Linked DNA regions of Elephas maximus indicus. The protein of the gene in region 4 interacts with the protein of the main gene of each other region in a biochemical or structural test. Links are inferred from orthologs where the notes say so. Each region holds a gene or a part of one and is shown on either strand. Other genes may lie near its edges. The genes, in order: BRF1, LIN9, EID1 and RB1.

The links.
Region 1: the proteins of RB1 (region 4) and BRF1 form a complex in vitro, tested with the Homo sapiens proteins (2 studies listed by BioGRID). The link is inferred for Elephas maximus indicus from reciprocal best matches to the Homo sapiens genes RB1 and BRF1.
Region 2: the proteins of RB1 (region 4) and LIN9 form a complex in vitro, tested with the Homo sapiens proteins (2 studies listed by BioGRID). The link is inferred for Elephas maximus indicus from reciprocal best matches to the Homo sapiens genes RB1 and LIN9.
Region 3: the proteins of RB1 (region 4) and EID1 form a complex in vitro, tested with the Homo sapiens proteins (5 studies listed by BioGRID). The link is inferred for Elephas maximus indicus from reciprocal best matches to the Homo sapiens genes RB1 and EID1.

What each region holds. Positions count from the first base shown.
Region 1 is NC_064828.1:119,542,383-119,549,759, forward strand, and holds the start of BRF1 (transcription factor IIIB 90 kDa subunit), read right to left. Parts: upstream 3,007-7,377; 5' UTR 2,957-3,006; coding exon 2,773-2,956; intron 1-2,772.
Region 2 is NC_064842.1:15,977,162-15,984,156, reverse strand, and holds the start of LIN9 (protein lin-9 homolog), read left to right. Parts: upstream 1-3,992; 5' UTR 3,993-4,085; coding exon 4,086-4,164; intron 4,165-6,995. UniProt on the Homo sapiens protein: Acts as a tumor suppressor. Inhibits DNA synthesis. Its ability to inhibit oncogenic transformation is mediated through its association with RB1. Plays a role in the expression of genes required for the G1/S transition.
Region 3 is NC_064828.1:6,458,852-6,465,939, reverse strand, and holds EID1 (EP300-interacting inhibitor of differentiation 1), read left to right. Parts: upstream 1-4,088; 5' UTR 4,089-4,171; coding exon 4,172-4,735; 3' UTR 4,736-6,935; downstream 6,936-7,088. UniProt on the Homo sapiens protein: Interacts with RB1 and EP300 and acts as a repressor of MYOD1 transactivation. Inhibits EP300 and CBP histone acetyltransferase activity.
Region 4 is NC_064832.1:30,645,452-30,653,223, reverse strand, and holds the start of RB1 (retinoblastoma-associated protein), read left to right. Parts: upstream 1-4,771; 5' UTR 4,772-5,025; coding exon 5,026-5,213; intron 5,214-7,772. UniProt on the Homo sapiens protein: Tumor suppressor that is a key regulator of the G1/S transition of the cell cycle. The hypophosphorylated form binds transcription regulators of the E2F family, preventing transcription of E2F-responsive genes.

The DNA.
Region 1 (7,377 bases), on a different chromosome or scaffold from region 4:
GACTATCTACACAGAAAACTCCCAAGGGATCAAAAATTTTAAAATAAAAAAAACCTCCAAGAACTAATAAGTTTAGCAAAGTCACGGGTAATAAGATCAACACACAAAAATCAACCTATTTCTATATACTACTAAAAAAAAGCAGCAGATAATTGAAAATTGAAATTTTTAAAAAGTATCACTTACAATAGCTCCAAATAAATGTTGGGTATAAATCTAAAATAAAGTACAGAAAACAAGACGCGTAATACTGACGAAAGAATTGGCACTGAGCAATGGAACAGCGTAGAGAGCCCCGAAGTAAACCCCCACAAATATGGCCCGTTGATTTTTACCAAAGGAACAAAAGTAATCCAATGGAGAAAGAATTAGTCTTCTCAACAGATGATGATGGAACAACTGGACATCCATATGGAGCAGCTCTACTCCGACACACATGGGGTCGCTGTGAGATGGAATCAACTTGACACCAACTAACAACAACATACGACAAAAATGAACCTCAGCCTACACCCCACATCTTATACAAATATTAACTCAAAATGGATCATAGATCTAAAAAAGTAAAACTTAAAGCTGTAAAACTTTTAGAAGAAAATCTCTGTGACTTTGGGCTTAAGCAAAGACTACTTAGATGTGACACCAAAAGCGCTATTCATAAAAGAAAAAAAAAATGGGACTGCATGAAAATTAAAAACTTCTGCTCTGCAAAAGACAGTTAAGATTTGCAAACCGCATATCCAACAAAAAACTCGTAACTAGAATATATGAAGAACTCTCAAAACTCAACCTTAAGAAAACAAAAAACAATTAAAAAATGGGCGAAAGACTTGAACAGACATCTCACCAAAAAGGATAGCGGTGGTGGTGGCTGTTAGCTGCCATCGACGGAACAAAGAGCTGCCCAGTCCTACACCATCCCCACCATCGGCTGTGAACCGAGCTGTTGTCATCCACAGGATTTTCATTAGCTGATTTCTGGAAGCAGACGGCCAGGCTTTTTTTCCTCGCCCACATCAGCCTGGGCGCTCCATTCTGGAAACCTGCTCAGCATCCTAGCAACACGAAATCCCCACTGACAGACAGGTGCTGGCTGTGCATAAGGTGTCCTGGCCGGGTCTCCCACATGGAAGGCAAGAATTCTACCACTGAACCACCAATGCTCATCAAAACCACGAAGGGACGATAAACCAGCACGTGCAAAGACGGCCGACATCGCTAGCCGCTAGGGAAATGTACACCAGAGCCATGACGGGATCCCCTGACACACCTACTCCTGTTAGCTGCCATCGAGTTGGGCCGACTCATGGCCACCCCATGTGTTGAGAGGAGAACTGCACCACAGGGTTTTGGTCTTCACCGAACCATATTACCAGGCCTTTTCTTCCATGAAGCTGCTGGGTGGGTTGAAATCACCAACCTTTTGGTTGGCATTTGATGGCAAACCACTTGCACCACCCAGGCTCCTATACACATGAACTCGTTGCCATCGAGTCGATCCTGACTCACGGTGACCCTACAGGACAGAGTAAAACTGCCTCATAGGGTTTCCAAGGAGTGGCTGGTAGATTTGAACTGGTGACCTTTTGGTTAGCAGCCATAGCTATTAACCACTGCACCACCAGGGCTCCTCTATACACATTACAATGGCTAAAACAAAAAAATATTGACAATACCCTGTGGAAAAAACAGTGCTACCGGTGAGAATGCAAAATGCCACAACCACTTTGGAAACGTTTGACAGTTTCTCGTAAAGTTAAATACCTACATACAGGTATACACAGATTGCCAGGCCTTTCTTCCCAGGCACCTCTGGACTAGAACCTCCAGCCTTTCAGTTTGCAGCCTCGTGCACTAACCATTTAGACCACCCCAGGATTCTCACACCAGCGAAAGTTACTATTCAGAAACAAAAAGGACCAACTGCTGATGCACACAACCTGGGTGACTCTCAAAGGCACCGGGCTCAGTAAAAGAGACCAATCCCAAAAGACTGCATGCTGCCTGATTCCATTTAAAAGACAAAACTGTAGGATGGAGAACCGATCAGGGTAGGGCTTGGAGAAGGGAGAGACGATAAGGGGACAGCAGGAGCTGGGGTGGGGGTGACGGGACTTTTCCTTATCCTCATTGCGGTGGTTACCAGAACCTAGAAATAAATGTGTTAAAACTCACGGAACTCTATACCAAAATAAACTCGATTTTACTGTATATCAATTAAAAAAAAAAACTCACAGGCTCATATCCACTGTGTCCCAGGCCACAGTTTTCTCCTCTTCCTGTAAAGCCAGAGTTACACAAGCATAGGGTTTAAAGGGCCCAAGGGGCGTCGGGCTCCAGGAGGCTCCTCACCTAAAGCAGCGGTGCCCTCGCACCCACGTCCCACTCCCGGCGCTGGGGGCACGTACCTCAGCTTCTCCCAGCCACCAGCCCATGGCACCGCTCGTGCGCCTGCCCGTCGGGTCGTCCCCACCTCCCGTCCCCGTGACTGTCACGGCCCCCGGCGGCGCGCGCTCCCCTTGTCCGCGCAACTTCTGCGCTGGGACCGGCTCCGTCCGGTCCCCTCCGCCTGCGCTCCGGCCGCGGCCCTCGCCCCGGGTCCCCGCCCCGCAGCCCCTCCGGCCGCCGCTGCGCCCTCGCGGCGCCAGGTGCCCCGCAGACGCCCGGGGGTGTCGGGCCTGCCATCGCGCGGGCCGGGTCCGGGGTCCCGCGGAGCCTCGGGGGCCGCCCAGCCGCCCTGCCCAGCCGCCCCGCCGCCCGCCCGGGACGCACCGTCCAGGGACACGAACTGGCCCACGGCCGAGGAGCCTCCGCCGCTGTTCTCCACGAACTGCACCTCGGACACGATGATGTTGTCCTCGAGCACCGAGCCGCAGCCGGTGCACACGGCGTCCCCGCGCGCCGCGTCAAACTCGATGTCGGTGCCGCCGCACCCGCGGCACACGCGGCCCGTCATGCCGGCAGCCCCCGGAGCCCGGCTCGCCGCCGCCGCCCGCAGGCCGCCCGCCAGGCCCGCCGCGCGCCCCCGACGCCCGGCAGTCTCGCGAGGCTCCCGCGCCGCCGCCGCCGCCGCCGCCGCGCCCGCCGATTCGCAGCGGCAGATTCGCCGCGCGCCCCGGGGCCGAGACGGCCACACCCGGGAGGCGGGGACGCGCTCGGAGCCGGGGGCCGAGACGGGGACACAAAGACTCGAACCCGTGACCTTCGAGCCCGAGCGCGGCCGCCGGGCCTCAGACCCACAGGCCAGTCGAGCCAGCGGCCGACGCGCTAGCGTTGGGGGAAGGAGGGAGGCGGGCTGCGGGGCGGGGCCTCCGGGGGCGGGACTTCATTGGGACCGGGTGGACAGCGGTGGGCGGGGACCTTAGCGGGATGGGCGGAGTCTGGGGAGCGGCGCCTGGTTTTGACTGGGCAGATAGTGGTGGGCGGGGCCTTGGGGTGGGACGGGGTGTCGGGAGAAGTGGGCGTGGCCTTTGAGTGACGAGCAAGCTGAACGACAGGAGAGCCAGTGGTGGGCGGGGCCTTGAGGTGGCAGGCCGGACTTGTGAGGACCCGGCCCGTCCGAAACCAGCGGCGCGCTGTGGACGCAGCCTGGACGGGGGCGTGGCGTGATGGAGGGGCCGGCGGACGGAGCGTGGCGGGCGGGGCCCTGGAGTGACAGGCGGGACCGGGCCAGGAAGGGGAGTGGTGGGCGTGGCCTGACGGGGACGGGAGCGTGGTGGGCAGGACCTGGATAGGTGGGCGGGACGGGCTGGTGGGCGGGGCCGGGGAGTTGCTCCTCCCCGGGGAGACCTCGGAGACCCCGGTCCGAGGGCGCCACCCCGCAGCTGCAGCTCCTGCGCCTCCTGGCGGTGCCTGCGCGGCCGCCCGGTCAGCGAGCCGGCATTGCACCTGGGACTCGCGGGCTCCTGGTCACCTGCCCAGAGTGGACCCTGCTCGACGCACGCCCGCAAATACCTGCGCGTTCCTTCCACAGGAGCCACAAAACCCAGGGAGTTCCTGGGAATGAACCCAAACAGAAGTGTGCAAAGCTACATTTTTTTAAGTCTCTAAAGCTTCATTAGAGAACATACAGAAGATGAGACAAAATCGGAAAAACGCCCCTTCCCAGCTCCAAACAAAGCTATAACATCGGAAGTTCTTCCCAAGTCAGTTTATAAAATCGATGTAAGCCGTCATAATGTCAACAGGATTTTTCAAAGACCTCGATGAACTGATGATAAATTCATCTGAAAGAGGTCATCTCCAAGAACAGTCAAAAATATTCTCAAAGAGAAAACTCAAGAAGGGGAGAATTGCCCTTCTGTATATCAAAAAATATACGTCACCTGGTAGCAATCAAAAGCACGTGGTATTTGTACAGGGCAAGTAGAGTAAAACAAAGAATCCAGCAACAAACCCAGGTATTTTTTTATGGAGTCATTGGAGCCCTGGTGGCGCGGTGGTTAAAAGCTATGGCCGCTAACCAGAAGGTCAGCAGTTTGAATCCACCAGCTACTCCTTGGAAGCCCTATGGGGTCGCTATGAGTCAGAATTGACCGGATGGCAGTGGGTTTGGTGGAGTCATCGCGACCCCATGTGTGTCAGAGTCAAACTGTGCTCCACAGGGTTGTCAATGACTGATTTTCAGAAGTAAGTTGCCAGGCCTTTCTTCCAAGATGCCTCTGGGTAGACTTGGACCTTCAACCTTTCGGTTAACAGCTGAGCATGTTCACTGTTTGCACCACACAGGGACGCCACCTGGAAATTGGGAGGCCTCAAATCGGGGAGGAAAAGACATACTCTTGAATAGTGTTGGGACACTGACTTTCCATTTGGAGGGGAAGGGTAAATTGAATCCTTACCTCACGCAGTCCAAAAATAAAAAATGCCAGTGACATTAGGAGCTAAAAGCAAAAAACAAAATGACAGGTTTGACAATGAAATGTAAGAGAATATTTTAAATCCCCAACGGATATTTGTCACGAGGGGGTGCTGCATCTGAGCCCCTTCCTGAGAGTGCAGCCTCTGCCCCCTGCTAATGCCAGGTCCCAGCCACCCTCATGCAGGGTTTGGGTGGGCAAGGAAGTGAGGCCAGAAAATGTGTGCCGGTGGGCCATAAAACCAAGCAATGCCACCCAGGAGGCTGAAACCAGGAGAGATTCTCTGCTTTGAATAAGCCTAAACTAATGGCTTTTTCTTCTTTTTTATTCTTTAGTAAAATATTTACAGCATACCTTAAAGTAGAGGGAAAATAGGAAAATAACAAATGTGGTTTGACAGATCCCTTTTGTATGGCCTTTCTCGCTGTGGTCTTGTAACCCCCACCCACTATCAACAATTATGAGGGTGCCACAGGATCAGTGTTTTGTTCTGCTGTACATGGGGTTATGGGGTTGCTATGAGCTGGCAGCTAGAAACAACAACAGTTTCAAAGGGAGATTCTGACCCTGGAGCAGAATAAATCTCTGACCTCAGAGAAAAGAAATGTTACTATTCACCCCTGAGGCATTGAGGAAGTTGTAGGCAGCAAAAGTGGCCTGTGCTGCTACCTTCCATGTCTCTGTGATCTCTGTGAAGAGTCCAAACACAGACCCTCATCTCTGCTTCACAACCAGGTCCACTTGAGGAAGAAGCAGAGGAGGTAGCTTATAACCAGTGTGCCACCAGGGCTCCAACAACTCTATAGCAAGTGGCCAGTGACTGGGTGGGACTGTGCAAATAGGGTAATTGTGACCCACCAAAGGAATTAGGCAGTTTTGCCATCCTGCTAGGCTTAAAAGAGGACCGATGACTCAAGAGGGGGAGAGCAAGTGGGAGTAGGGAGTGAGGTGTATGTAAACTTATATGTGACAGACTGATTGGATTTGTAAACGTTCACTTGAAGCTTAATAAAAGTTATTAAAAAAAAAAAAAAAAAGAGGACCAACTCCGGAGCAGAATAAGGATCTCACCACCACCTAGGAAGAAGAGCCAGGAGCGGAGCAAGTCCTTTGGACCTAGGATCACTGCAAGGAGAAGCTACTGGAACCAGACCGAGAGAGAGAGAGAGAGACCTGTAACGTGGCACTTGGTGGGGCTAGGTTTGCTGACCCAGGAACCAGAGATGAGCACCGTCAGGACGAGGGTTCCCGGCGGAGTGGGATTCCTTGGGATACTTATCAGCAGAGCTAAAAGAGCTTTGTAACACTTGTTTGAGCAGGGCAGAGGCCAAGGGGCCAGAGGGATGCCTGCCTGCGGGCACGGCTGAGAAGGGTCTGTCCTGAAGGAAGAACTGTATGCTGAGGATTCTTGGACCTGAATCGTAACCTGTTGCTTCCCTAGTAAACCCGCTAACTGTGAGTACAGTCTGTGAGTTCCCGTAACCTGTCGCTTCCTTAGTAAACCTGCTAACTTACTGTGAGTTCCGTGTGGGTGTTGCAATGGATTATTGAACCCGGCAGAGAAGCAGAGTGTGCCATGGGGGATACGGTTGGTGTCAGAATCGGTAAAGATGGCAGAGAGAAGAGGCATGTCTGACCTCCACCTCATAGGAATCAGCCTTGGGCTGTTGATCTTGACTCTCCTTTCCCCTTATGAAGTTAGAGGAGGTCAGACGCTGCCCCCATGCCATTTATACACCAAAAGTACCATCATTAGTATCTTAGTTATCTAGTGCTGCTATAACATAAATACCACAAGTGGACAGTGTCTCAGTCACCTAGTGCTGCTATAACAGAAATACCACAAGTGGACGGTATCTTAGTCACCTAGTGCTGCTATAACATAAATACCACAAGTGGACAGTGTCTCAGTCACCTAGTGCTGCTATAACAGAAATACCATAAGTGGATGGCTTTAACAAAGAGAAATTTATTCTCTCACAGTCTAGGAGGCTAGAAGTCCAAATTCAGTGTGTCAGCTCCAGGGGAAGGTTTTCTCTCTCCGTTGGCTCTAGGGGAAGGTCCTTGTGGTCAGTCTCCCCCAGTTGAGGAGCTTCTCAGCTCAGGGACCCAAGGTCCAAAGGATGCCCTATGCTCCCAGTGCTGCTTTCTTGGTGGTATGAGATACTCCTGTCTCTCTGCTCAATTCTCTCTTTTATATCACAAAAGAGATTGACTTAAGACACTGTCTAATCTTGTAGATTGAGTCGTGCCTTATTAACATAACTGCTGCTAATCCCACCTCATTAACTTCATAGAGAGAGGATTTACAACACAGGAAAATCACATCAGATGACAAAATGGTGGACAATCACACAATACTGGGAATCATGGACTAGCCAAGTCGACACACATTATTTTGGGGGACACAGTTCAATCTGTGATGCTCGGCTATATCAAAATTTAGCATTTTCCCGTATTTGTAATTTGGTTATACATAGATATAGATACAGATGCGATATAGCTGTAGATGTATGAA
Region 2 (6,995 bases), on a different chromosome or scaffold from region 4:
ATTAAAAAGACAGGAGAGAAACAAAAGACCTAAATGGATGTCAGAAACTCTGAAACTTGCTCTTGGACATTGAATAGCTAATGCAAAATGAAAAAATGATGAAATAAAAGAGCTGAATAGAAGATTTAAAAGGGTGGCTCGAGAAGACAAAGTAAAGTATTATGATAACATGGGCAAAGACCTGGTGTCTTAGTCATCTAGTGCTGCCATAACAGAAATACCACAAGTGGATGGCTTTAACAAAGAGAAATTTGTTTTCTCACGGTAAAGTAGGCTAAAAGTCCAAATTCAAGGAATCAGCTCCAGGGAAAGGATTTCTTTGTCAGCTCTGGAAGAAGGTCCTTGTCCTCAATCCTCCCATGGTTGAGGAGCTTCTCAAGCACAGGGACCCCAGGTCCAAAGGTGGTGCTCTGCTCCTGGTGCTGCTTTCTTGGTGGTACGAGGTCCCCCACTCTCTGCTTGCTTCCCTTTCCTTTTATCTCTTGAGAGGGAAAAGGTGGTGCACGCCACACCCCAGGGAAACTCCCTTTACACTGATCAGGGAGGTGACCCCTGATCAATCCCACTCTAATTGCATTAACATAAAATTACAATCACAAAATGGAGGACAACCTCACAATACTGGGAATCATGGCCTAACCAAGTTGACACATATTTTTTGGGGGACACAACTTAATCCATGACACCTGGAGATAGAAAACCAAAAGGGAACACGTTCAGCATTTCTCAAGCTGAAAGAACTGAAGAAAAAGTTCAAGCCTTGAGTTGTAATACTGAAGGATTCTATAGGGAAAATATTAAATGACACAGGAAGCATCAAAAGAAGATGGAAGGAATACACAGAGTCACCATGTCAAAAAGAACTGGTCAACATTCAACCACTTCAGGAGGTACCACAGGAGCAGGAACCAATGGTACTGAAGAAAGAAGTCTAAGCTTAAGGCATTGGCGAAAAACAAGGCTCCAGGAATTGACAGAATACCACTTGAGATGCTTCAACAAACGGATGCAGCAATGGAAGTACTCACTTGGCTATGCCAAGAAATTTGGAAGACAGCTACCTGGTCCACTGACTGGAAGAGATTCATATTTATGTCTATTCCCAAGAAAGGTGAGCCAAACAAATGTGGAAATTATTAAACAGTATCATTAACATCATAACAAAACAAGTAAGTAAAATTTTGCTAAAGGTCATTCGAAAGCAGCTGCAGCAGTATATCGACAGGGAACTGCCAGAAATTCAAGCAGGATTCGAAAGAGGACGTGGAACCAGGGATATCATTGCTGATGTCAGATATCCGGATCCTGGCTGAAAGCAGAGAATACCAGAAGGATGTTAACCTATGTTTTATTAACTACGCTAAGGCATTAGACTGTGCAGATCATAGCAAATTATGGATAACATTGCAGAGAATGGGAGTTCCAGAACACTTAATTGTGCTCACGAGCAATCTGTACACAGATCAAGAGGTAGTCATTTGAACAGAACAAGGGCATACTGCATGGTTTAAAGTCAGGAAAGGTGTGTGTCAGCATTGTATCCTTTCACCATACCTATTCAATCCGTATGCTGAGCAAATAATCTGAGAAGCTGGACTACAGGAAGAAGAACAGGACATCAGGATTGGAGGAAGACTTATTAACAACCTGGAATAGGCAGATGACACAACCTTGTTTGCTGAAAGTGAAGAGGACTTGAAGTACTTACTGATGAAGATCAAAGACCACAGCCTTCAGTATGGATTACACCTCAACATAAAGAAAACAAAAATCCTCACAGCTGGACCAATAAGCAGTATCATGATAAATGGAGAAAAGATGGAGGTTGTCAAGGATTTCATTTTACTTGGATCCACAAGCAACACCCATGTAAGCAGCTGTCAAGAAATCAAAACAGGCATTGGGCAGATCTGCTGCAAAAGACCTCTTCATGTGTTGAAAAGGAAGAGGTCACCTTGAGGACTAAGGTGCACCTGACCCAAGCCATAGTGTTTTCAATTGCCTCATATGCATGAGAAAGCTGGACAATGAATAAAGAAGACTGAAGAACTGAGGACTTTGTGGTGTTAGAGAAAGAATACTGAATACACCATGGACTGCCAAAAGAACGAACAAATCTGTCTCGGAAGAAGAGCCAGAATGCTTCTTAGAAGCAAGGATGGCAGGACTACCTATCACATACTTTGCATATGTTATCAGGAGGGACTAGTCCCCAGAGAAGAACAACATGCTTGGCAGAGGGTCAGCGAAAAAGAGGAAGACCCTCAATGAGATTGATTGACACCGCGGCTGCAACAATGGGTTCAAGCATAGGAACAATTGCAAGGGTGGCGCAGCACCGGGCAGGATTTTGTTCTGTTGTGCATAGGGTAGCTATGAGTGGAAACCGACTCAAGGGCACTTAATGGCAACAATTTGAGAGGTGGAAGCTTCCTGTTCCTCCATCTCTGTTGATACTTCCTATTCAGTAGTAGCGGTAGCAGCAGCAGTAGCTAACGTTTGAGTCAAAACGAGTGCTACGTACTATTATAAAGGCTTTACATCTATGAAATCATTTAACCCTCACAACAACCCTGTTATTATCTGCATTTCACAGATGAGAAACTGAAGCATGGAGAACTAAATTAAGAAACTTGGTTCCAGATTACACAGCTAGCAGCCGGAATACCAACCCAGGCCTTCCAAACCTGTGCAGCCACTAGTACAGACATCTCTCTCCTCTCCTGTGCCTGCCCCAACAGGCTTCCTCCTGACTGGTTTCTAGGACTCTCATCTTGTCCCCTGCCAATCCATGTTCCATATTTTTGTTCTAAAACACAAATGGAACCATGCTACCAAAGACTTCTCTGCGTGCCTCCAGTGCTCTTGGCAAGTCCAACTCCTTAGCCTGGGCTGGCATTTGTGTACGATTCGGTCCTCATCTTGGTCTACCATTTTTTATTTCCTGGAATTCATCCATCCTGTATTTTCACTGTTTGTCTCCCTTCCTCCCCCACAACCTCCTTCCTCCAGAAGTTCCTGGAAAGGACTGGAGCTCGGTAACATTTAAGCGAATTGTTGAAAAGCAGCGGTGGTTTATCACTGGACAGTTTTACAGACAGGAATTGTGAAATCATTCTCTGGGCTTCTTTGAAAACGGTGAATCCTCATCCAGGAGTCTCTCCAAGTTTTGATCAGGGTACTCCATCACCTTGTAGTATCACTATTGGTTTCTGTCTGTATCCTCAGGAAACCTGTTATTCATGTTATTCGTGTTGTAACTCTCTCCCAGCTCGCTGTATGAGCCAGGGCAGAATGGATGAAGGCGCTGAGCAGAACGATTCGTAGGGGCCGGCCTAAACGATTAACTTCATGACCTCTCAAGGTCTCTCTCCTAGGCTCCGTGCAGCGCAGGTTCCAACAGTCGGGAGGAGGTCCCCGGCTCGAAGGGGGCCGCAGGGATCCCGAATTCTGGGCGGACACTGCGAGGCAGCTGCGGCCTGAGTGCACGAACCACTCCTCCGTAAAAAAGAGTGGATGAAGGCGCAGGAGAAATGTGGGTTTTGGGAACTCTGAAAAATACACTCCGAGTGGAGCCCCTCGGGCAACGTGACCGAGAACCAAGGGCTTCTCTGGCCACGCCAGGCCCACAGGTGCCTCCTCCCGGCCCCCGCCTCAGCCTGCCGGGGCCTCCCTCCCACCTTCCCTTGCTTTCCCCTCCTTGGAACACACAGCTTGCAGTTCCCGCGGCTGCAGCGCGAGACAAGAAACGCGCGCCGGGAGCGAGCCCCGGAGGGGGCGGGCGGCGCGGGCCAGGAGTGGGGCCCGGGCGGGACTCGGGAGCTCGCGCTGCTCCCCCCGCGCTCCGGCGCCGGGCCCGGGCAGGGGAGGTGCGCGACGGGCCTCTCCGCGCCATCTCCCTCCTCCCGCCCTCCGGCCCGGCCCGGGGCGCAGGCGGAGGGGCGAGGCGCGGCCCCACCTCCCGGGGCAGGCGCGGGCGGAGCCCGGCCCACCTCAGCCCGCCGCGGCGGGAGCAGCGCGGAGCGGCGCCGAGGGCAGCGAGCTCGCATTCGAACCTCCCTCGCAAAGACAGTCTCCGCCCCACAATGCACCGCGGCGGGCAGCCTTTGAAAAAGCGGCGCGGCTCGTTCAAGATGGCGGAGCTCGACCAGTTGCCTGACGAGAGTGAGTAGCACCTCAAAACACCCCCCCTTCTTCCTCCCGGCCGCCCGCCCCGAAGCTTTCCGGCCAGGAGGGGCCGCCGTGCCCTCCGCCGGAGGGGGGACTGACTGCCAGCCCCACCGTAGTCCTCCTAGTCCCTCCACTCCGGTGTTGCCGCCGTGTCGCCGCCTTTGTTATGGTGTCTGTGTGTAGGTTTCTGGGGTTGTGTGAGCGCCAGGGCCGGAAACCGAAAGCTCAGGAGTCCAGCCTATGCCGGGAGGAGGCGGCGGCTGCTCCCCTGGCCGGACTCGGGCCACCCGGCCGAGGTGGAGGAAGAGCGGCCCCGGTGCGCGGGGGCTGCCCTCGCCGCCTGCACCAGTCACCGGGCGCGGAGAGACGCCTGCCGGGGTTATGTAACTCGCCTGTCCCGGGGCCGGGGAGGGTTCGCGCTCGGGAGGGGGTGGTCACAACCCCGGCTTCTTGCCTCAGCCTCTGATCTTGTCCCGTCTTAGTTCCTGCCTCTATGGGCACTTGTGATCGTCCCTGTCCCTCCTCCCCACCGGTGTGTCCACCTCTAGAAGTGTTTCCGTGTCAAGAGGCTAGCCCCTTCCCCTGGGACCACAGGTGGCTGTGGACCCTTCCAGAGGTAATCCAGACTGGATACACAAGCATTCAGGTAGCCTCCATCCCACAGACTTTCCTCTGTGTGTGTGTGTGTGTGTCCTTAAGAGTCATGGGAGTACCTTGTACACAGGGATGTGACCAACACAGCATACATATAGTACTCTTCCTGACACCCGCCCCTGTGCAGGGCTCACTAACCATGACTACTCTGCCATCCATGGGATCTCTGCAACATACCAGCTCACATGTGTTTACTAAGTAAAAGCACCAACTCCATAGTTCAAAGCACAGTGGAACTTCATTTTGTAATTTTAAAAATCGCACAAGTTATGTAAAAAGGCAAGTATTTTAGCAAAGTACAAAAAAGGTCCTGAGTCCACACTCATTATTCAGTTTATGTGTATGTATCATTCGTCAGAGTTTTAGTATAATAAAAAGAAGGCTCAATCACTGTAAAATCATTTGTGAAAAAGGCAAATAGGCTTAAAATGAGAGCTATATACAGCCAATTCTGTTTTCTTTATGGGGTTGTATATCCTTAATGCGCTATAAAGTAAATAAAAAGCTCAAGTTGTAGTGAAAAGTTGTATTAAAAAGAGTTTGTGTTTTTAATTTGCTCTAGATCAGCGCTAAGTTCCAATAGAACTTTCTCAGTGATGGAAATGTTCTATTCTGTGATGTTCAATAGGGTAGCCACTAGTGACATGTGGTTATGGAGTACTTGAAATGTGGCTAGAGGGACTGAGGAGCTGAATTTTAAATTGTTTAATTAAGCTTAAATAGTCACATGTGGATAGTAGCTCTAGCCTGTTTGTGAGTTTTGTTTCTTGATTGGAGAATACAGTTCATTGTGACTTAGGATGCTACCAAGTAAGAATGGGCCTACTAAGCACAACCTAGTTCTTATCTGGAAAAAGTTTTTTTTTTTTTTTCTTTCCATCCTCATCATCTTTACTGTAAAGATGACTTACCCCTTTTAGAATTTTTCTTTTTTTGGTAGTCATTCTGTTGAATAAGAGGTATTGTAAGTGGCTTTCAGTATACCTCTCATTTGGAATATTTTGCTTCATCTACATCATCAAATATTTATTGAGGACTTCCTATTGTTCTTTGAAGGAACCTGGGAGTCATGTCGTTGTTAGGTGCCATCTAGTTGACTAGTTGATTTTGACTCATTGCGACCCCATGTGACAGAGTAGAACTGCCTCATAGAGTTTTCTAGGCTGCAATCTTTATGGGAACAGATTGCAGCTCCACTCTCAAGCTGTATGACCTGATCATTTTTATTAGTTTGTGACATCTCTGGTATATTGTGTGTATGTGTTGTATAACTTGTTGAAAGCAGGGATTGCCTTACCTGGTTTGTCACACTGCCCTGAATCAAGTATACAGAAGCACCTCATTTATATGAAGAGGCATTATTAATGAAACCGGGCAGGGTCTTGAGAAAGAAAAGAGATTTCGGTTTGATACTGGAAATAACAAGTTTCTTTGCCAAGTTTAGGCAAGGCGACTAATAAAAAATATATTAGCTTAAAAAAAAAAACCATTGCCCCTGAGTTCATTCCAATTCATAGGGACCCTACTGGACAGAGTAGAACTGCCTCCTAGGGTTTCCAAGGAGCGCCTGGTGCATTTGAACTGCCGACCTTTTGGTTAGCAGCCGTAGCTCATAACCACTACACCACCAGGTATTAGCTAATAACCAACATAAAATTACCAACAATAAATGCTGCCATTGAGTACTTGCTGGGTACCGACACTATGCAAAGCATTTTACATATATTTGTTTAACCTTATTTCACTTGAGGTAAGTACTTTTTTAAGAGTTTGATTTTCTGTATGAGGGAACTGAGGCTATCTTCAGCCCAGATCTTTCCTCTAAGCTCTTGCACTTAACATCTGTTACCTATTTCACATCTTCTCTTAGATGCCTCAAAGGCCCCTCAAACTTCACAGGTTCAAAATATAACTCATAACCCCACTCCAGGACAGAGATAATTTTAGTGGTTTCTCTCTTAATGAAAGCTCTTTTATTTATCTGGTAGAGGTCATCTTTGGCACTTCCCCCTTTCACTTCCCATATTTAAGCCTTTACTGTAACTTTTACCTTTTAAATGTCTCTCAAATCTACCTACTTTTCACCATCAGCCTAGCCCAAATTGTCACCATCTCATCTGATCACTTCAGCCTTCAATTAATCCAACTCTTCCAGGCACCGTGCACACCCC
Region 3 (7,088 bases), on a different chromosome or scaffold from region 4:
GGATGCTTCAACATTAGAAAAACAATTAATGTAATCCATCACATAAATAAAACAAAAGACAAGAACCACATCATCTTATCAATTGATGCAGAAAAGGCATTTGACAAAGTCCAACACCCATTCATGATAAAAACTCTCAGCAAAACAGGAACAGAAGGGAAATTCCTCAACATAACAAAGGGCATTTATACAAAGCCAACAGCCAACATCATCCTAAATGGAGACAGTATAAAAGCATTCCCCTTGAGAACATGAAACCAGACAAGGATGCCCTTTATCACCACTCTTTTTCACCATTGTGTTGGAGGTCCCAGCCAGAGCAATTAGGCTAGAAAAAGACATAAAGGGCATCCAAATTGGTAAGGAAGAAGTAAAACTATCTGATCGTACACACAGAAAACCCCAAGGAATCCACAAGAAAACTACTGGAACTAAAACCAGACTTCAGCAAAGTGTTGGGATACAAGATAAACACACAAAAATAAGTTGGATTCCTCTACATCAACAAAGAGAACTTCAAAGAGGAAATCACCAAATCAATACTATTTACAGTAGCCCCCAAGAGGATAAAATACTTAGGAATAAATCTAATGAGAGAAGTAAATGACCTACACAAAGAAAACTACAAGACATTACTGCAAGAAACCAAAAGAGCCCTATATAAGTGGAAAAACATACCTTGCTTATAGATACCCAGTATCCAGTGCCCTCGAGTTGATTCTGACTCATAGCGACCCTTATAGATAGGAAGACTCAATATTGTGAAAACATCAGTTCTACCCAGAGCCATCTACAAACACGATGCAACTGCCATCCAAATTCCAACGACATTTTTTGATGAAATGGAGAAACAAATCACCAGCCTTATATGGAAAGGGAAAAGGCCCTGGATAAGTAAAGCATTACTGAAGAAGAAGAACAAAGTGGGAGGCCTCACACTACCTGATTTCAGAACCTATTACATCGCCACGGTAGTAAAAACAGCCTGGTACTGGTACAACAATGGATACATAGACCAATGGAACAGAATTGAGAATCCAGATGTAAATTCTTTCACCTCTGAGTAGCTAAAACTTGACAAAAGCCCAAAGTCCCTTAAATGGGGAAAACACAGTCTCTTTAACAAATGGTGCTGGCACAACTGGATATTCACCAGCAAAAAAATGAAACAAGACTCATACCTTACACCATGCACAAAAACTAACTCGAAATGTATCAAAGACCTAAATATAAAATCTAAAACGATAAAGATCACGGAAGAAAAAAATAGGGACAATGCTAGGAGCCATGGCACATGACATAAACAGAACATAAAACATTACTAGCAATGCACAAACACCAGAAGAAAAACTAGATAACTGAGAAAAAAAAGACTTCACCAAAAGAATAAAAAGACTACCTACAGACTGGGAAAAAATTTTCAGCTATGAAAATTCCCATCATCATCTAATCTTTAAAATCTACAAGATACTGCAAAACCTCAACTACAAAAAGACAAATCACCCAATTAAAAAATGGGCAAAGGATATGAACAGGCACTTCACTAAAGAAGATATTCAGGCAGCTCACAGATACACGAAGAAATGCTCACGATCATTAACTATTAGATAAATGCAAATCAAAACTACAATGAGAAACCATCTCATACCAACAAGGCTAGCATTAACTCAAAAAAATGCAAAATAATAAATGTTGGAGAGGTTGTGGAGAGACTGGAACACTTACACACTGCTGGTGTGAATGTAAAATGGTACAACCACTTTGAAAATCAATTTGGCGCTTCCTTCAAAAGCTAGAAATACCATACAACCCAGCAATTCCACTCCTTAGAATATATCCTAGAGAAATAAAAGCTGTCACAGGAATAGATTTATGCACACCCGTGTTCACTGCAGCACCGTTCACAATAGCAAAAAGATGGAAACAACCTAGGCGCCCATCAAATTATGGCACATTCACACAATGGAATACCATGCAACGATAAAGAACAATGATGGATCTGTGAAACATAATATGGATGAATCTGGAAGGTATTATGCTAAGTGAAATTAGTCACAAAAGGGCAAATATTGTATGAGACCACTATTTTAAGAAACCAAGAAAAGGTTTAAACAGAAGAAAACATTCTTCGATGGCTGGAGGGGCGGAGGGAGAGAGGTATTCACTAACTAGATAGTAAACCACCAAAACCGACAAGAATTATCTTAGCTGAAGGGAAGGACAACACACAATACAAGGCAAATCAGCACACTGGACTGAAACAAAAGCTACGAAGTTTCCTGAATACAACCCAACACTCTGAAGGAGAGAGTATCAGGGACAGGGGTGTAGGGCCATGGTTTCAGGGCACATCTAGTTGCATAACCAAGTTTATTAAGAAAATGTTCTGCATTCCAGTTTGGTGAGTGGCGTCTGGGGTCTTAAAAGCTTATGAGCAGCCATCTAAGATGCATCAATTGATCCCAACCCACATAGAGCAAAGAAAGATGAAGAACAACAAAGACACTAGGAAAATATTAGCCCAAGAGACAAAAGGGCCACATAACCCAGAGATGCTATCAGCCTAAGGCCAGAAGAACTAGGTGGTGCCCAGTTACCACCAATGACTGCCCTGACAGGGAACACAACAGAGAGTTCCTGAGGGAGCCGGAGAAAGGCAGGGTGCTGAACTCAAATCCACCTAAAAAGATCTGACTGAGACTGGAGGAACCCCGGAAAACAGGGCCCCTGGACTGTTAACCTAGAACTAAAATCATTCCTGAAGCCAAACCTTCATGCAAAGATCAGACTGGACTCTAGGACATAAAATGATTGCTGTGAAGAAAGTGCTTCTTAGTTCAAGTAGATACAGGAGACTAAACGGGCAACTCCTTTCCAGAGGCGAGATGAGAAGGCAGAAAGAGATGGCAGCTGGTTGAACGGACACAGGAAAGCCGGGGTGGCAAGGAGGAGTGTGTGACACATTAGACGGGTCACAGAACAATGTGTGTATAAATTTTTGTATGAGAAACTAATTTGAGCTGTAAACTTTCACTTAAAGCACAATCAAAAAAAAAAAAAAACAACTCAGTGGAGTACAGGTCTACTCTGACACACACTGGGCGGCCACAAATCAAAATCAACTCTACTATAGCAACTGATTTATACATACCCTACAATACTGCCTTTCCACTCCTAGGTATTGACTCTAGGGAAACACTGGCACATTGGATAAATGGTTATAATATTTTAAAAAATCTAAAAATATTTGCCCATTGTTAGGTCAAGTATAGCATATCTATCCAATAGAATGCTGTGCAAAAATAAAGTGGTATGTGTACGCATACTGACGAAGCTAAATTGTCCAGGCTTTTTTAGAGGACGTTACGTGAAATATGTAAAAACGCACACACATAGAAAATAATATATTCTCCAAAGGGACATAAAGATCCATATACATGCAAAAAGTGGATTGGAAGAACACACACCGAATTGATATTCGTAGAAAGTTACCTCCTGGAGAAAACGACGATGAATTTTTCTTCAGTGGTACTTAGGGAAAACCCAATACACAGGTACTTACTCTTTGTGAATTTAAGGTATTTTTAAGTGACGAAAACAGAAAAGCAGAACGCATACATAAGCTAGATCAGTGGTCGAGAATACAGTCTAGCTTGGAGAAGTAGGAGTCGGATCGACTCCACGGGGTGTGTGTCTGTGTGTCTGCGTGTCTGTGTGAAATGTGGCGCTTAAACCCAAGGCCGCGAACCCTTGAGAACAGCTGTGATTGCCTGGGGACGGGGGTTGGGAGGAGGAGACGCCGGAGGAGCGGGGGGAAGAGCGGGAGGAGGGTGAAGTGCTGTCACGAAGGCAGCGGGGCGTTCAACTCCGCAGCACCACAAGCGGCGGAACGGCTAAGCAGGGCAAAGACAGTCGTGCCCCTGCACGCACAGTCTCTCGGTGTGAAGTTCGAATCCACCGACGCGCAGACGTCAGGCCGCTCGGACTCCCAACGTTGTCTCCGAAGACCCGCCAGCGGCCCCCACCCCAGCAGCGCCCCAGGCGGAGGCGGCAGCCGCAGAGCCGCGCATGCGTACGGGGCTACGCACCCGCAGAGCGTTTGCGCAAGCGCAGCGCCGCGTCTCTCCGCGCTCGCTGGGGACGCTTGGCTAGCGTGTGAGCGGCTGCAATCATGGCGGAGATGTCCGAGCTGTCCGAGCTGTACGAGGAGAGCCCTGACCTGCAGATGGACGTGATGTCTGGCGACAGCGACCCTCCGCAGATGGAGGTAGGCAGCGGGAGCCGCGAGCCGTCGCCGAGCCCCGCCCGCCCCGGGGCCGTGCCGCAGCTGGAGGAGGAAGGCCCGATGGAGGAGGGGGAGGCCCCGCCGATGGCCGGGGCGGCGGGCCTGGCGGGCGGGCGCGGCGGCGGGGAGCAGCCCGGGCCGGCGGCCGCCGACGGGGAGAGCGGGGACGAGGGCGAGGAACTGGACGACTGGGAGGACGACTACGACTACCCCGAGGAGCAGCAGCTCCGGGGTGCCGGCTACAGGGTGTCGGCGGCCCTGGAAGAAGCCAACAAGCTGTTCCTGCGAACGTCCGGAGCCAGGGAGGCCGCCCTGGACGGCGGGTTTCAGGTGCAGTACGAGAAGACCCCGTTTGATCAGTTGGCGTTTATCGAAGAGCTCTTTTCCCTGATGGTTGTCAATCGTCTGACCGAGGAACTCGGCTGTGATGAGATGATCGATAGGGAGTAAGCAAAGGCTGGTGGAAGAGGGAGGAGAGACCCAGCATCCCATTATTTTTTGGGTTCATTCGAAATAGCTCCGTGCCAATGCAACACTTGATCTTCAAAAACAAAAAACATTGTGTTCATTTTGTAGAAGAGGATAGGACAGTGACTGCACAGTTGTGAGAAACGAAGAGAATCGCCAAGAAGGAAGGGCCTGCGGACTGTTGAGAAATGTTTTCAAGAATGCCCCGAAACACCCATGCCTTTGACTTTGCTATTAATCCAGATTGTTTCCCTTGTGTTGGGAAAATAGCTTTCATATCGGCTGCACAGCAAGGGATGGCTTTGCAAGAACAGGGAATGACCAAGACGAACTGCCAGTAAAAGAGCCCACTGATAGTACCTGTCTGATGAGAAAGAACAACGAAAATGTCCAGCGTGGGACACAAGATGTCTTTGAATTATTTGGACTGGAAGCCTATTGAGAAAACTTTGAAAATTCTGATTTTGTGACCTATTCAAGTCGTAGTTATCAAACGCTAAATTATTACTGTAACATAAATTGAGTTGTTTTCAGTATCTCAAAAAGATGAGCAAATCCAAAAATATCACATGTGCTGTATCTTTAAATGTGTTTCCAGAGCATCTTAATTTTGTTTATATATGTATCTTGATCATTTATAAAGCTACGATGGTCTATACAAGAAAATCCATGTCGTGACCACTTTAAACGGTAAAAAATTAAGACCTCTTTCATTAACAATTTTAGACAGTATGTTACTGAAAGTACAAAAAAATAATTTCTAACACTCTTATACACAGGGGAAATTTCTGTTTTGTTCCTCTCTCACTTAACAGGCAAAAGATTTTAGTTGAAATTAATACTATAAGAACTGTGGGTGCAAATTGTAACGTAAGAGGAAAGTTGTACATCTAAAAAAATTGAACAATTATGTTATTAATCTTCTAAAGGTTTTAAACCTGCCCAGAAATCCACTTCAGTATCTGAGGTTTCCCTCTCTCTCCTCCTCTAATTAAGCTTGTTATTTGTAATGCACCAGCATTCCAGATAATAAAATTTCTTGTTCTGTGTACTTTGTTTGGCTAATAGTATTGCACTTTTTATTGTATGAATTACTGCAACCACTTAATGATTTAAATTTAACCAGTATTTATAAGGGAAAGCATCCAGCTTCAGATACCTGATGCACAGATTAAGTTGTGGAAAGCAAACTGAGTAAATTAAGTATTGCCAACCTAGGAAAACCTGCAGTGTCAGTGAGCATGCTGCTGTGTTTATTAAGATCCTGAAGTTCCAGGAGGAAAAACTGTTAGAAGGCTGCACCCAGTAAAAACAGGATCAGCAGGCTCTGTGATGACTAGTAAAATTACCTGATGTTCCCGCTTCACTAGAGCGATAAAGGCACGTCCAGTACCACAGGACAACTCGGCTTTATTTATGTTAGTCACCCTGTTCTTTGGGAAGGGGGTTCTTTTCTGTAAAATATAAGACTGACCATTAAGTAAGGATGGTCACGATCACTCAAACAGTAGCCTGGTGGGGTAAGGAGAGGGGACAGACAGGAGGTAAAACATTGGCGTTTATACATTTTAATCCTGCTGCCTCTCAGCTCTTCCACTGCTTTCTCAAATAGCCTGTAGCTGCAGTCAAATGCATCTGTAAATGATTACGCAATATAAATTAACAGTGCTCTGAAAAAAAAAAAAAAGAATGGCAGTACACAATAAACGCCAGTTGCATTTACCTCCAAATAAAGGCTCAGGAAAAAACAGCTGTGCGAACTGGGAGGTTATGCTTCTTTTTCCCTCTCAGACTGAGCAGGGAGCAAGGAGGATGGGGAGAAAACCCACATTCCCTGTTGAGTTTGAAGACAGCTTAAGAAGAAAGACCTGGGCTCTGCAACTGGTTAGTGGTTTTAAAAATAGGAAGTAACCTGAGAGACCACTGAAAATGATTAATATTTACTGAAGATGGAAAATGGCAACATTTTAACGCCCCTTTTAGGGGTGTAAAAATCACATTTCTTTTAAATTTTGGAGTTCTCACAGACTGGAATCAGAGTACTTGGTTCAAATTTGGGCCCCACTACTTACTGGGTCTGTAACTGGGTAAGTTATTTCTCTACTTTAAAGTCCTTAACTGAATATGGGTGTAATAATTGCATGTACCTTATAAATTGGCCATTTAATGGAAATTAAAGGTGTTCTGAGGAAACCATGGTCCTGATTTGGGGGACGGAGTGGGTGGAAGGAACTCGGACAACCTTATGAGTGCATAATATGATTTGGGGAGGGTTTTCTACACCTATCCATAACCTATTCAAGCCGATTCTGACTCCTAGCAACACTACAGGACA
Region 4 (7,772 bases):
ATTTGTGACTTAGGAGACCCCATGTGTTACAGAGTAGAACTGCTTCATAGGGTTTTCTTGGCTGCAATCTTTAAGGAAGCAGATTACCAGGCCTGTTTCTTCTGTGGTGGTGCTCCAGGTGGGTTCAAAATGCCAACGTTTTGGTTACTGGCCAACTGGAAACTATCTGTGCCATGCAGGGACCTTTCTAAACAAGAAGTTGGGAGAGAAGTAGCAATTTCCCATACTAACTGCTATACAGTGTTTGTACGTCAATATTTAAAGTTTTTAACATGACAAATGAGTGTGCTTCTTGCTTGTTAAATTACCTAATCTAGGTTTAGATATATCTAGCAGTATATCTAAACTGCTTCTATGTTTTATTCTGATAACACTCAAGTAGAGAAGCCAGTCTCTCAAAGGCATGTTGAAGGGAGTGGAATAAGAGATTTTAAGGCAATTTCAGCAAGTTCAGGACATTCATTTTTAATTTCTATCCAAAATGAAACAAGAGATGCTTTATTTTCAAAATTCATCTCCAGTCCTTCATCAGTAGTGAGTTCCAAAAATTTGCCCTGTAAAGTTACAGTTACATTTAAATTCTGGATCCATGAATTTCCTGTGTGTGGTGATTACTTTGATGGAGAATCAAAATCAAAATGTTTTATCATATTTATGATAATATTTTCTTTATATTTTGTATGTAAATGTCCCTTAAGTTTGATGGATTCATTGCTTCATTAATCAGTCCATGGTTTTAGTACTTAACCAAAAGTTATGGCTACAGACTGAACAGACAGGGGATTATATTTCTGAGTAAAATTAATATAAACTCTTAGCTCTAATTCTTTGGAATGACTTCTCTGATCATTATTTGGTTTACTACTGGTAGTATTAATCCACTAGTGACATCTGTCTTTTCTTGACAAAACAGGCCAATGAGGCTTGTTTCATCATCTACGATTTAGGGTTAAAAATAAATGACACAAATTTTACTTCCCTAATTTAGCTATATATAAATAAAAAAAAGAGGCTTGATTAAAAATTAAAATGACTATAAAAACAACTTATAAAAATGAATAAATATTTACATCTTCATGGATTTTTAACACTTTGGATTACAATTGACAAGCTAACCTTAAAATTTTACTCATCGTAAATGTGGTCCTACTATGCATGACAAGGACACAGCCCTACCACCTGCAACTCACCACATAAATTGGAGAACACCTGAACTGGACTATACTCTTGCTTAGCTATATGCTTAGCAACAGATGTCCAATGATCATGTTCTTGGATGTTGCTGACATGTCAAATTGTCATAAACATTTCTAAGCACTCTTAATTTCTGTATTTATCATCATCTTGTGCAGTAAGGAGCCCTGGTAGCACAGTGGTTAAGAGCTACAGTTGCAAATCAAAAGGTTGACAGTACGAATCCACCAGGTGCTCCTTGGAAACCCTATGGGGCAGTTCTACTCTGTCCTATGGGGTTGCTGTCCATTCAACCAGTTCCTATCCCTTTCTGCCTTCTCATCCTGCCTTCCAACAGGAGCTGCCCATTTAGTCCCATGTATCTACTTGAACTAAGAAGTAAAACTCTTTGAGTATTATTTTATGTTTTATAGTCCGGTCTAATTTTTGTCTGAAGAGTTGGCTTCAAGAATGGTTTTAGTTCAGGGTTAACAGAGAAGTCCAGGGGCCATGGCTTCGGGGGTTCCTCTAGTCTCAGTCAGACCATTAAGTCTGGTCTTTTTATGTGAATCTGAGTTCTACATCTCCTTTTCTCCTGCTCCGTCAGGGACTCTCCATTGTGTTCCCTGTCAGGGCAGTCACTGATGGCAACCAGGCACCATCTAATTCTTCTGATCTAAGGCTGATAAAATCTCTGGTTTATGTGGCCCTTTTGTCCCTTGGGCTAACATTTTCCTTGTACCTTTGGCGTTCTTCATTCTCCTTTGCTCCAGGTGGGTTGGGACCAAATGATGCATCTTAGATGGCTGCTAGCAAGCTTTTAAGATGCCACTCACCGAAGTGGGATGCAGAACATTTTCTTAATAAATTTTGTTATGCCAATTGACCAAGATGTCCCCAGAAACCATGGATCCAGGCCCCTGCCCCTGCTACTCCGTCACTTGAGAAAACTTCTTTTAATAATCTATAGAACCTCTAACACTTCTTTGTAGTACAACAGAAAGCTGTGTAATGATTTTATTTACTCAAGTACTTCTGAGTTGTGTGTGAGGAAATCATATCTTAAAGCTACTCAGAAACATGGTAAAAGGAGTCCAAGGCAAAGATACACATCCTTTTGTAAATGGAGAAACCTCTCTTTGACTTATTATAATTGTGGTAAATCCAGATGTTGATGTAAACTGGGTTTAAATAGAGCAAGTCTACATATGTGGGGAGAGTTTACTTCAGTTCCCAGAACTTCCTTCAGTTCTCCTACCTATGCTCTCCACTCTCATTTTTAACAAATAAGTATCTACTGTGTGTCCAATACTGTGCTCAGTACTAAGGCTACAAAAATGCCTGAGATTTGGTCTCTATCCTGAAGTAATTCACAGCAGAAATATTATCAGTCATGATGCTTTCTGCTGCAAACAATCATGCAATTCAGCTCCAGGGTGTTCAAATCAGAAGCTAAGTTATGTCACCAAGGACCCAGATTATTTTCTTTTGATATTCCTACTGCCCTGTCCCCAGCATTTTTGCCTTATCCTCCGGTCTGCTGCATAGGTCACAATGGCTACAGCAACTACAAGTGTCATATCCTTATGACAACAGCTAAGGAGTAGAAGAGCTGTCATCTCTGTATCCCATTTTATCAGCCTTCCAGAATATTATCACCTTTCATCTTTAAAAGGTCAAACTGTATCCTGATCTGCTGCCTAAACTAGTTGTGGGCAAGATGAATGGGACTACCATTTTAATTGTATTCACTCTCAGTGGCCTGGGCCCTACCTCCTGACAAAGTCTTGGCCCCCAAGGTAGGATCCGGGGGGACTGTGTGTTGGGTAGGCCAATGCTTGCTAACCTTTTTTACATTGTGGCACATGTCATGGTCTACACAGAAAATGATAATCCATTGCACTACTCACTGGGATAAACTCACGAGACTTGCATCTATGACTTACCTGAAGGCTCCTGCTGCCTCACATGCTGCCCAGCTTTCCAAGAATGAGGGAATGTACATCAGAGCACAACTATACTTTATTCAAAGTACTTCAGTTGGGAAGTTCTGAGATGGGCAATCAAAAGTATCTGCCAAAGGAAGAAAAACATGTGCTAAAACTAGAAAATCAATTATAATAAATCAATACCAGGAGACAGAAAAGATACAGCTTCTAAGCCAATGTTTGGCGGCGATACCTCCAGAAAGCTTTTCTTCTGTTGATTTTGTGCCTGTACACATGCTATTTCTCTCTTTTTGGTGTTTTCTTCACCAGTATAATGTAACAGATAAGTCATAGCAAAATTACCTAGGTTCAAGTCCTCTGCTCATCAGATCTGTGATATTGGGAAAATTAATTAAGTCCTCTGAGCCTCATCTGAAAAGTGAATAATACTATCCATTTTAAAAGGTTGTTTCTGAAGATTAAATGAGATAATTATGTAAAGTGGCCAGCACATTTCCTGGGATCCAGCAAGTCTTCCTTAAATTTTAGATCAAGCTGGCAAACTTCTATTCAACTGCTACTTCTCCTCTGAAGATCTCTTTTACACATTTCAATGGTTCCTCCTGACTTTACACCACCATTAAGACTCAAAAAAATTAATTAAAAATAGACATTTTACTTTAAGAAATTTCTCTTACCCACACACACACCCGCAAGTATAAAAATACTTGACCCAAAACTGATCTTGCCTGCAGCTTCACTGGCTTGTTCTTTCACCCCAACTTCAACTTTGCAGCATGGTTAAACTTGTTTATCCCCCCAGCTAGAAGACAGCAGTCAATAAGAAATCAATCACCTTGTGATTTAATGAAAAAGACTGTGTGCTTCCTTGATTTTAATTTCAAGAGCTCTCAACTATAAATATGTAAGTTAACTCAGTAATCATTATTTCATCACAGTGGAAACTTGTATTTATCAAACAAAAATTTTTAAGTCTCTGTGAAATCTCCATTCTCTGGGAGTTTCTTCTTGCAGGAAGAGAATGTTCTCCCAATTTGAAAATTGTTTGTTAAATCATAGACCAATCAAATATTGTTATTCTTTTGAATTGATACAAAATCTTATTTTTAACGTTTATAAACAGTTTATAAACTGTTTACTTGTTCATTACCCACAGCCCCCTCCCTACCCTAACCAGTGATCCCCAAAAGGCCAATAATTGTCCTACATTTTGTTTCCCCCAGTGCTTGGTAAACTGGAGCACCGATTAGGTGTTCCAGAAACGTTTGCTAAAGGGATAATCGGCGGTGTTTTTGTTTTGGTAGACTGGCTTAACGGATTGGGTGGGCGAGGTCTCAGAAGAGGGAGGGTACCGCCCATGGAGAGAGGAGGCGTGACAGTGTAGGGTGCGCTTGCCTGATAGAACTTACAGGACCTGAGTGACAGTCCCTGATCAGACCCAAAGACAGAGATGACAGAGATGGGGCCCAATTTTGCCCCACAGACTCTTTTTGTTGCCCTATTACGGGCACCTCAGCCTGGAAGGAGAGCTACAGGTAGAAACAGGTCCCAGCAGCGGCGGCTACCTCAGGGAGGGCGCCTCCGCCAGGCCTGGTCTCCCGGCCAGCCCCGCTCGTCCCTGCGCCCCCGCCCGCGCGCTGCCAGGCGCCCCGGTGCCCGCCAGACGCCGGCTGGCCCGGGAGCCTCGCGGACGTGACGCCGCGGGCGGAAGTGACGTTTTCCCGCGGTTGGACGCGGCGCTCGGTTGCCGGGCGGGGAGGGCTTGTCCGGTTTTTCTCAGGGGACCTTCAAATTATTTTTGTAACGGGAGTCGAGAGAGGACGGGGCGTGCCCCGACGTGTGCGCGCGTCCCCCGGCCCTGCCCTCCTCCACAGCTCGCTGGCTCCTACCCTGTGAGGGCGTCATGCCGCCCAAAACTCCCCGAAGAGCGGCCGCTGCCGCCGCTGCCGCTGCCGCTGCCGCTGCGGCTGCGGCTGCGGCTGCTGCTGCGGCTGCCGCCGCCTCTGTGGAACCCCCGGCGCCGCCGCCACCGCCCCCTCTCCAGGAGGATCCGGAGCACGACAGTGGCTCCGAGGACCTACCTCTGGCCAGGTGAGTGAGCAGAGCCGCCCCCGCAGAGCGAACGCAGGAAGGGAGCCGAGGGGGCTTCGGGACCGGCGCCGCGGCATCTAGGCGGGGGCGCGTCTTTGCCCCGGATCCCGGTCCCGGCGAAAGAGGGTCCCTCCTTGCCCCCCACCACCGCGGAGGGTCTGGAGGAGGGTGACAGGGCTCCGGGATCCGGAGCGAGGGGAGGACAGCCAGGAGGGGTCGCGGCTCCAGGTTGACAGGTGTTGGGCGGGTGGGGCTCGGTTGGCTGAGCGAAGTGACAGGTGCTAGATCGGAGGCTGGAGGCGGCGGGTCATTTCGAGCTCCCATCAAATGCAAAAAATGACTGACGCGCGTGTGTTGAAGAGGAAGCGAGTTTTGTTCTTGTTAAATTGGTAGTACTCCCGTGCTCTTTGGCTTTCTGTTTGGTCTTCTGCGACGCAAGAGTTCCAAGTGTTCGCTTCTGGGTGTGCACTGCATCCAAAGCCCCATGCTGCGAGAGGCCGACCAGAAACGCCTTGGACGCCGCTGCAGGAGACGCCATCGGACCTTAGCGCAGGGTCCTGGGTGCCGGTTGTCCACAGGGTGCTTTGAGGCCTTGGGGTTCAAAGCCAGCTGTAGTAACTGGCGAAACAGAATGCTTTAGAGGAACTGGGCAAGTTTTGTGAGGCAATTTAGTGTAAGTGCCTAAAAGTTTCTAAACTTCTTTTTTTTCCTTTTGGATAAAACTCCTTGCAGGTTAGTCTGCCTCAGCATGTGCCATTATTTCTTCCATTTTGTTTTTTGACTTTACAATCAGGGATCTTGGTGACGCTTGTTTCTTTGTTTTGTTCTGTTTGTTTTTGGTAAAAAATTGGCGATGCTCTTGTGCTAACATCGAACTTTTTTTTTCCCCCCCTAAGTGAAATCTAAATTTAAGCAAGCCGTGTGGATGCGGTAGAATATGACAAAGAGCTATTTGTTGGATTGCAACATTTTATTTTTCTGGATTGTGATACTTTACGGTTAACTAGCTAAGACTGAAAAGTGCATATTTGTCCTTATTCCTTATTGTCAGCACTGGTTCTCTTTCAGGCTCTTTGTATACAGATCCATCGTAGGGGAATGGGACTGCTTTCTTCCCTCACCATTCCTTCTTCCATTCTGGTCCATCACCAAGTTCTGTTTTACCCTCACTGAATTGTACATATCTTTCCACTTCCCAGCCACTAACAGAGTTCAGGCCAAATTGTAAAAGATTGAAATGACCTGTGGAAGGATATTAAAAATTCATATATTTGAATGAACTGTCATATGGGTTAACTGAAAATCATACCTACTAGTTTAAAAAAAAATCCTTGGGTGGTGCAAACGGTTAATGGCTTGGCTGCTAATCGGATGATTTACTTGCAAAAAATTAGCTGATGAAAATGCTATGGAGCACAGGTCTACTCAGACACACATGCAGTTGCCATGAGTCAGGAAATCGACTTAACAGCTTAGTAAAAAACAAAACAAAAAACAGGCCTGGGGGATGTTTTGGAAGAAGACATCACACTTTAGTTTTTGATTAAACTCTAATGTGCCCAATACCTGAAAACTATTCTTTGGCAAGAGCAGTAGTATTTACTTTAAAAAATTCAGTGTTATCCATATAACTTTGAAAGCATTCTTGATTATTTTGTGATAATTAGAAATATTGAAGTTCTGACCATCACCTGGGAAAAGAAGAAATTTGTTTCTTTCATTCTTTTTTCCCCAACACATTATTTTATATACCTTTAAGTGATGGAATGATAAAAAATTCTTTGGGAACTCAAACCCTTGTACTTCAAAGCCATGCAAAATACAGTCTGCCTTTGATTATCCGTACTCACAATGGATTCCTTAGCATCTTCAATCAGACTCTACAGATTAACAATTTAGCAAGGGTAGGACCACAGCCTGGCAATCTGAGGCTGAGTAACCTGAGGCTGAGTAACCTGCTTAGGGATGGATTCAGGGCTCAGCTCTAACTGCATTCCCAGCAAGAACCATTTCTGCCCAGAGAGTTGAGATCACATTCTGTTGCATTTATCTCTGGCCTAAATGATGTGGTGGAAACCCTGGTGGCCTAGTGATTAAATGCTACAGCTGCTAACCAAAAGTTTGGCAGTTTGAATCCACCAGGCGCTCCTTGGAAACTCTATGGGGCAGTTCTACTCTGTCCTATAGGGTCGCTATGAGTTGGAATCGACTCGATGGCAAAGGGTTTTTAAATGATGAGGCTGGAAGGGAAACTGTCACTAGGAACAGCATACCACCTTCATTGTTGAGGTTATCAGATGTTAATTATGTTTTGAAAAAGGAGCTGGCAGTATAGAGTAGTGGTCAAGAGCGTGGATTATGGAGTTAGACTGTTGGGTTCATATCCTGGCTTACCACTTAGTACTGGCAGTGAGCTCAGGTGAATGCTTTAACTTCTCTGATTTCGTTTATTCTTCGGTAAAACAAGGATGATAAGGGTCCTTACATGGTAAGGCTGATGTGGAAATTCAGTGAAACCATGACATTTAAGGACTTTCTACAGGGTCATAGTAAATACAG